Stegostoma tigrinum: one gene and its partner. The protein of the gene in region 1 binds, or shares a complex with, the protein of each later gene. Links are inferred from orthologs where the notes say so. Each region holds a gene or a part of one and is shown on either strand. Other genes may lie near its edges. The genes, in order: wnk4a and klhl2.

What was found.
Region 2: the proteins of wnk4a (region 1) and klhl2 are in contact, whole or in part, in a crystal structure (PDB 4CHB), measured with the Homo sapiens proteins. The link is inferred for Stegostoma tigrinum from reciprocal best matches to the Homo sapiens genes WNK4 and KLHL2. Residues at the interface, in NP_115763.2 of Homo sapiens: Glu557, Pro558, Glu559, Glu560, Pro561, Glu562, Ala563, Asp564, Gln565; in NP_009177.3 of Homo sapiens: Arg345, Phe361, Gly363, Ser364, Leu365, Arg366, Thr392, Phe408, Gly410, Ser411, Thr412, Gly413, Ser438, Ser439, Tyr455, Ser487, His504, Arg534, Tyr583.

Annotation. Positions count from the first base shown.
Region 1 is NC_081384.1:15,201,460-15,205,374, reverse strand, and holds the start of wnk4a (serine/threonine-protein kinase WNK4), read right to left. Parts: upstream 2,729-3,915; 5' UTR 2,228-2,728; coding exon 1,607-2,227; intron 1-1,606. UniProt on the Homo sapiens protein: Serine/threonine-protein kinase component of the WNK4-SPAK/OSR1 kinase cascade, which acts as a key regulator of ion transport in the distal nephron and blood pressure.
Region 2 is NC_081354.1:56,998,931-57,002,845, forward strand, and holds the start of klhl2 (kelch-like protein 2), read left to right. Parts: upstream 1-1,390; 5' UTR 1,391-1,554; coding exon 1,555-1,625; intron 1,626-3,915. UniProt on the Homo sapiens protein: Substrate-specific adapter of a BCR (BTB-CUL3-RBX1) E3 ubiquitin ligase complex that mediates the ubiquitination of target proteins, such as NPTXR, WNK1, WNK3 and WNK4, leading most often to their proteasomal degradation.

The DNA of each region.
Region 1 (3,915 bases):
TGACAAAACAGAGTGAACTGGGGAAATATCTTTCTTAACCAATGTTCCACCCATGTCAACTAATAACAGAATGCCCTAATCCTCAAGTGTGTAATGTACCAGATTACACAGCTAAGCCAGCAGACACACTGTACAATAAATGCCCCTCCAACTGACAAGTAAGCTTAATTTATAATACTTGTACCAACAAGTAAGTCAGTGTTAAGCTTAGACTAAGCCTATCTTGTCTTTACACTCATTGATTCAGTCCGAGGGTACATTTATTATGCAATTTTTAGAGATACTGCACAAATTCCCTGGTTTGTCAGGATCTAACTTCAGTGTTATATCAATGTAAGTTTAGAAATGCTGATGCAAGATGGATGCAATGTCCCTTGAAACTACGAGCACCTTTCAATCCCTTCAGCAGCTACCTTGATGAATTGTGTGTATGAAAGCGGCTGATGTCTCTAAATTTTATATTTTAATTGCTGAGAGAGGAGCAATGTTACAGGTACTGTATTGTCACATCAGTTTTTTTTGACAAACTCATGAATAACTGCATTCCTGACTTCATGATATACTTTTAAAATCTGTCCTAGGACAAAGGCCTAGGCTGAGATAGCAGAGCAGAGCATAAAAATAAGTTGCTGCAACCAACCACAGAGAAAATTAACATTAGACATCCTCCTGCAAGACAGTCAGGCATGAGATATTGGGTCTGGATCAGTTGAGGTCATTTACCTTGGAGTCAGGTGGTTTGTGGGTTCAAGCCCATATAATTGGAATTTAAAAAGCTGATTCTTCAACACAACGTGGAGGGTACAAAACAGAAACTGCTGTAAAGCTCAGCAGCTGCGGAGTTTCTCCAGCATTTTCTGATTTTGTTCCTGATTTACAGCATCTGCAGCCTTTTATCATAAAATCCCTACAGTTTGGAAACAGGCTGTTCAGCCCAACAAATCCACACTGACACTCAGAGCATCCCATCCAGACCCATCCCCCTATAACCCACACATCCCTGAACACTATGGGCAATTTAGCATGGCCGATCCACCTAGCCTGCACATCTTTGAACTGTGGGAGGAAACCAGAGCACCCGGAGGAAACCCACGTAGACACCGGGAGAATGTGCAAACTCCATGCAGACAGTTATCCGAGTGTGGAATCAAACCCGGGTCGCTGGTGCTGTGAAGCTGCAGTGCTAACCACTGAGCCACTGTGCCACCCCAAAAGCCTATTGCACCTGATATTCCCATGCAGTCTCCCATCCAAGTACTAATCACGCCACAGCTTCCAAAATCAGGCATTTTCAGACTAGTGTGACCGTAGGCTTTGAATGAGACTTGAAACCTCTGCAGTAAATGGATAACGCCCCTGAAAATCTGGCCAATATTTACACTTCGAATCACAGAAAAAGCCAACATTGCTGCTGCTTGGGGCTTGCTGTGAGGAACTGGCTGCAGCGTTCCCTACGTTGTTGCGGTGACTATGCTTTGACAAAAAAAAACACTTTACAAGTTGTGGAAGTTTCTTGAACAGTATTTAAGCTTTCCTGAGTGACACAATATCCCTGGGTCTTACAGCCTGGGATGTGACGGGCCCGGCGGACTCTGCATCGTTTTACCTGTAACTCGCACCAGGCGACCTCCACCGTGGTCTCGGTATCCAGCCCCTTGTAGACCGTCTTGAAGGAACCTCTTCCCAGCTCGATGTTGAACTTGAGGAACCTGCCGTCGGGGGAGGTGTCGACCGCTTTCATCTCCACCTCGTTCTCCTCCGGTTCCATCTTACTCTCCTCGGGCAGCTCGGAAACCGAGTCCTTGTGAGGAAAGCGGCGGCTGCCATCCTCCGTGTCCGAGCTGTTCGCGACCACCGCCGCCGCAGCAGCAGCAGCAGCAGCTTGGAGCGGCGAGGGCGCCAGGCGAGCCGGCGGGGCGCCGGCAGTGGGTCCGCCCGCCTTTAGCGGCCCGTTCTCAGCGGGCGGCGGGGGCTGGCTATCCGGGACTGGCACCAGGGTTCGGGAAGGGCGACGGACAAGCAGACCGTCAGCTCCCAGCTCGACGTCGACGGAGAGTTTCCTCTGGTACCGGGACGGGATCCTCCTGCCGTCTCTGGCAGGCATTCTCCGCCGCCGGCTCTGCGCTTTACTGAGGTGGGAGGAACGATCCAAATCCAGATCCAGGGTCGAGGTAATGAGCCCGAATCTAGCCAGGTCCACCTCCGCCTGGGACATCGTCCTGGACATGCTTCAACCACCTCCAACAAACTTCGCTCGAACCCCAAGGGAAAGCCCTTGAGGAAAGACTCGCTGACACGGTCTCAAGAAAAGCACAACATTCAACCACAAACATCATCGTGTTTCATGTTGCACCAGCCGCTCCTCGGAAAACATTTGCCTCCTCACTACTTTTATTCTTTCGTTTGCCTGCCCCTTTCAGTCTGTTAGACACTCCCCCCCCATCAGCAATAGAAAGTAACTTAGAGAGGGAAATGAAAAGGGGCTCTACTTTGAATTGACAAGTGCTTAGAGACAGCAGTAATTCCGCTAACGCCTGATATTGCTCTCAGACCGTCCCCGCACCGCCCATTGGCTCAGGGCAGACTGTCGCTAATTTGGATGGGGGCGTGTTGAAACCGGGGTGGGGGTAATGTTCAGTGTTTATTTACTTGGTTCTCCAAATTGCAGGGGGGAAACGAAAGGTAATTTTACTTTCTTTCTCTCTCTCTCTCTCTCTCTGAACCATCCCTTTAAATTCCTACTGTTTTCACACGTGCTGAAAGATCAGTACACAAAGTGCGGAGGGAGTGAAAAGCGTCCTTTAAAGCTGGGCGCGCTCAGAATTTTTTTTCAAAAGGCACTCGGCCAGAAAGAGGCACTGTGTGAAGCAGCAGGATCTGAATGGACAAAGTTCTCCTTTATCGGGCGCAACATTCACTCAGTTCCAGTCACGTCCTCCAGCCGGGCCAGAGGCTCCAGCATGAGAAGCAGAGCTGCTATCAACTCACAACACAGATCGGGGGGGTGCGGTTTGAAGTGTACATATTCTTCCCTTGAGGTTGGGGGGGTTGCTGTTGGATGGCGGATGACGGTATGACGTTACTGGAAGTAAGATCAGGCTGCTTATCACTGATAGAGCATGATCCAGATGGTCTTTATTGTGAGCTCCATGGAGCAGGCTTTGATATTTCAACCAACCTGTTATGACACCGAGATAGTAGGAACTGCAGATGCTGGAGAATCTGAGATAACAAGGTGTAGAGCTGGATGAACACAGCAGGCCAAGGAGCATCCGAGGAGCAGGAAGGCTGAAGTTTTGGGCCTTCACCCTTCTTCAGAGCAGGAGAGAACTCTAACCTGGGCCCCTGGCTCAGAGGTACACACACCACCACTGCACCATTAGTGACTTAAACTGAATAAGATAGTGGATAGTGAGTTTCGAGAAGATTTGTAACTCAGGATGAGTTTCTGGATGTGAGTTTGCTCGCTGAGCTGGAAACTAACCTTCCAGCTCAGCGAGCAAACTCACATCCAGAACATAGTGGATCTCAATAAACACTGTTTTCCAGTCTAAGTGGGAATGTTTATAGCAGAGCAAGTTTTATGACTAACCTACAAAGTGATGTGATTACAGACCTCTGGAGCAGAAAAAAACAGACCTCCTGGCCCAGAGGTTGGGACACTGTGCACCGCAAGAGCCCCTTGTTGATAGCGGAAGGTGATTAGAATCTAATGGAGCAGGGTGTTGGGGGCTCTTCTGTTGTATGGACTCCTATTACCCAACAATTGAGAGGGTTGGTGCCTACATCTATTGGACACAAAAAGTATAAGCAGACACTAATGATTAAAGGATTTGTGCAGAGATAATAGGAACTGCAGATGCTGGAGAATCTGAGATAACAAGGTGTAAAGCTGGATGAATACAGCAGGCCAAG
Region 2 (3,915 bases), on another chromosome or scaffold:
GGGGCCAACGGGGACTGTGCGGGGAGACGACTGCCGGAGTATTTTCTTCGCTTTGTTTTTTTTTCTTGTTTGCTTGTTTTTTTTCCCCTTTAGTTGGTGTACGTAGCCCCTGGGTAACCTGGAGCGGCTTGCATGACTGGGCAGGTGTATAAATGTTTTTTTTTGTACATTCTATGAATAAAGTATATTTTTTCAAATAAAAAAAAGTGATGAAACGTCTGAAAACTAACCTTCCAGCTCAGCGAGCAAACTCACATCCACAATAAAGCTGCAGATTCTGAAGCTGTCAGCTGAATTTCTCATTGCTTTTTACCTGCCTCAATGTCATTTTCCCAGAAAAAATAATGCATTCTTTCCACATACTGGTCTCAGTCTTTGACAGCAGGATCGACAAGTCAAACTTTCCACATAATGCCATGATGCCAGAAATGCATATCCCAAATCAAAGATGAATGTTGTGAACAAATTTCTTCAGGTGCACTTCTTTTTCTCTTGTTGCCACTGAAATAACTTCACAGAGGCCAGTGTCCCGTCACCAAGTCACTCTTCATTCACACGTGGAGAGTACTTGACACTCAGAACTAGACCTCAGAATGAACAGGACGTCTGACACTCCTGGTTATATTTTTCAGCCAGGGCTCCCTGATTGGACCAGATTAACAGCCCCAATCAGGGAACTCATATTCTATGAGAACTATCTTAATGACCTCCTTATATTCACTAAAAAGATCACAATGCCTCAGACAAGGTTGGGACGCAGCACCTTCATGGTAACTTTAGCCCTTATCTGTGAAACCCCAATGGCCCTAGAAGCCTCTAAGATATTGATACTTCTTCAGTATACTTCTTCTAATAGCACTATAGAAATGCAAGTTATTGTTGTCAACAGAATCAATAAAATAGTTGCTACGGAAACAGTGTCGGCGTACAGCAACAACCCAGTGACGAAAAAAGTGCTTTGGGCGAAACCTTATGCTGCACAAATTGAATACAATGCCGAGCGGTTTTGGTTTCACTTTAGATGTGCAATTGCTGTATGCATTTTTAAAAAGAAAATCTGGCAGAATCACGTAATTTCAGTACAGAAATCCTGCAGTTTGTTCTAAAGTACATGGTTTTAAATATGAAGCGCAGTTCAGCATTCACTGCCAAAGGTAACCTGGAGGCAGGCTCTGGATACAATGCCATACAGTCCTCTACAATTCCCATATTAGGGCTGCTTCTTCCAGGTCCTCCAACCCAGAGGGAGCTCCTGGTACGGCAATACCTGGAGAATATCACTTTTGACAGTCGAAGCGGAATAAAAAAAGTTGGAATTGGGAGGCAACTGGAAGCTTTCGGGGAGTGGGGGAGGGTGGAAGGAGGAGGTGAGGAGAGGAGCATTGTGGGGTATTGGAGGAGGAGATGGTTTGCAGGCGCCGCCTCCCTGGTTTCCCCTAAGGGTCAGGCTGAGACAGTCGGAGCAGCGGCTGCCTCAGTGACCGCCCGGGCAACAGCACAGACAATGGAACGCGCGCGGAGCACGGGGAAGCATCCCACGCGCCTCTGAGTGGAATGGTGCAGCGCGCCGAGCTCACTCAGCGCAGTCGGCAACAGGCGGAGGACACAATGGAGATACAGCAAATGTGAGTCTGTTAGCTCCAATCACAGCCAGGGGCAGGGCAGGGCTGGGGGAAACTCCGGCCAGGAGGGACAACCCGGCTTAGGGCGGGGGCGGGGGCGGGGGTGGGGAGAGGGAGGGTCTGGGTCATGCTTGGAGCCTCCCCGCTCACATTTGTGGAGAAGCGACTTTACAAATGCCAGGAGAACTGAAGTGGGGTCGAGGGAAGCACAAGCTGGAGTTTTTGATAGCAAATAGCAATGCGGTTGTTTCAGCATTTTAGCAATGCCGCAATTTAACTCTATGCAAAAGGGTAGAAATAAGTGAAAATTGGGAAGTGTCAAAGAGTTATAAGTCTGTTGGTGTTATAATTTAGTTTTTTTTTTGGGGGGGGCGTTGGTCAGAGATTTGAGCACCTGCCCATGATGTCCGGTAGCTGTTTCTGTAGTGAATATTCTGATGCATATATAGTTGCACTTTTTTTTTGGTTGAAAGATGTATTAAATGTAGGAAATTGTGTTGAGCTATGTTTTATTTCAGGGGGGACGAGCTGTAAAATTGTTTCACGAGTACAATAAAGAACGAACACTCAAGAAAATGTATATTTTTGGAGAAGATCAGTGCACCTCTTACAGTAGCAACTGTGTAAATGACAGTTATGTATTGTGGCATTGATACTAAAATTTCACTGTTTAGTGTGTTAAATTTTAATGCTTCTGCATTCAGAGCATCCATTCTCAATTTCAGTATGGCACAATGGTGGGCATATGCTTTAGTTGTACTATTGATTTTGAATTGTAAAGGGAAAGTAACACTGGAACAATATAACACCTGAACTAGTGGAAACAATTGAGGTGACGAATTAAGGGACAAGAAGCATATCTGTCTAATTCTGAAGCATGCGATCTTCCCTAATTCCTACTGTCAATGCTAGATTTGACATTGCAGTTTTTAATATTATCTTTGTAAACATATCTGTGTTACGTGTATTTTTTTAAATGCTGCCTATATTTTCCTTTCTTGGGTATGTGTTAAAGATAAATTTATAGATTATTTGTTTTATAGCCTGATTTTCTTTTCTTCCTGTCAACTGAACCAGATAATGGTACCATGACTGATTCTGTGGGTGAATGAACGATATTGTGTTGTATATCATTAATGCCTGCAGTGTGACTTCTAGATCTAGTTAACTAATCTTACAATTTGGGTATAATTCTACAGGTCATTTTTTAGTGATTTTTGGTTAGACAGAAGCAAAACTGCATAGGCTCGTTTTTCTTTCATTTCTGTGCATTGATCCTGGTTGTAGATGTATGTATATGCTGAGTGATGATTACTCCACTTGCATATTGCCACCATCCCTTGTTCCAATTGTTGGAACTCGAATGGATTGGGCCTCCGTAACCTGCCTCAAAGGTGTAAATTGGAGGCCTGTAACAAATACAAGTCTGAACATATTAATTTTGTGAGGGCAATTGCATGAAATATTCTGACAGAGGTATGTTGCGTTGAAGTCTGAAACAATTCTGCAAACACAGGAACTAAAACAGAAATTGCTGGAAAAGCTCGGCAGGTCTGGCAGCGCCTGTGAATTTCGGGTCCAGTGACCCTTCCTCCAGAACAATTCTGCGAAGCTTGTTTGGAAGAATGTATTTTATTTCAGTTTTTCTGGAGCAGTGAAATCAACCAGACATCCCCTGAACAAATAAAAGAAATGGATCCTGATCTGTAATTACCCTGGAAAGGCAGTGGTGTTAGCAGCCCTCGGTGTAGGGCCACCCAAGGTGCTTTTGGAAAGGAAGTGCCCTCCTCCCCTTCTCCTTCCCCCCCCCCCCCCATTAATCAAATTTTTGGGTTTAAGAATAAAAAGTGAGTACTAGGTTTTCGATCCAGCAACTGGACTGGATGATATAGTTTTGAATCGGGATGGGCGGGGGTGGTGGATCTAGCAGGGTGGTTGTGGTCCTATTTATCTGCTGCCCTTGCCCTTCTACCTGGGTTGAATTTATGTTTGGAAGGTGCTCTTAAAGGGGTCTGGGTGTTGTGCTGCTCTGCATTGATGGAACATGCTGCAGCCACTCTGCAATAATAGTAAAGAGGGTGACGGACTTCCAGAGGGTTGTGAATCTGTGAAATTCCCTGTCCAGTGAGGCAGTTGAGGCTACGTTGTTGCATGTTTTAAGGCAGGTGGAGCAGACTCAAGGGGCCAGATGACCTGTTTCTTGTGAAAGTTGAAAGTGGTGGATGGGCTGGATTGTGCCAAGGTTTTTGAGTTTTATGGATCTTCACCCATCCAGACAAATGGGGAGTATCGC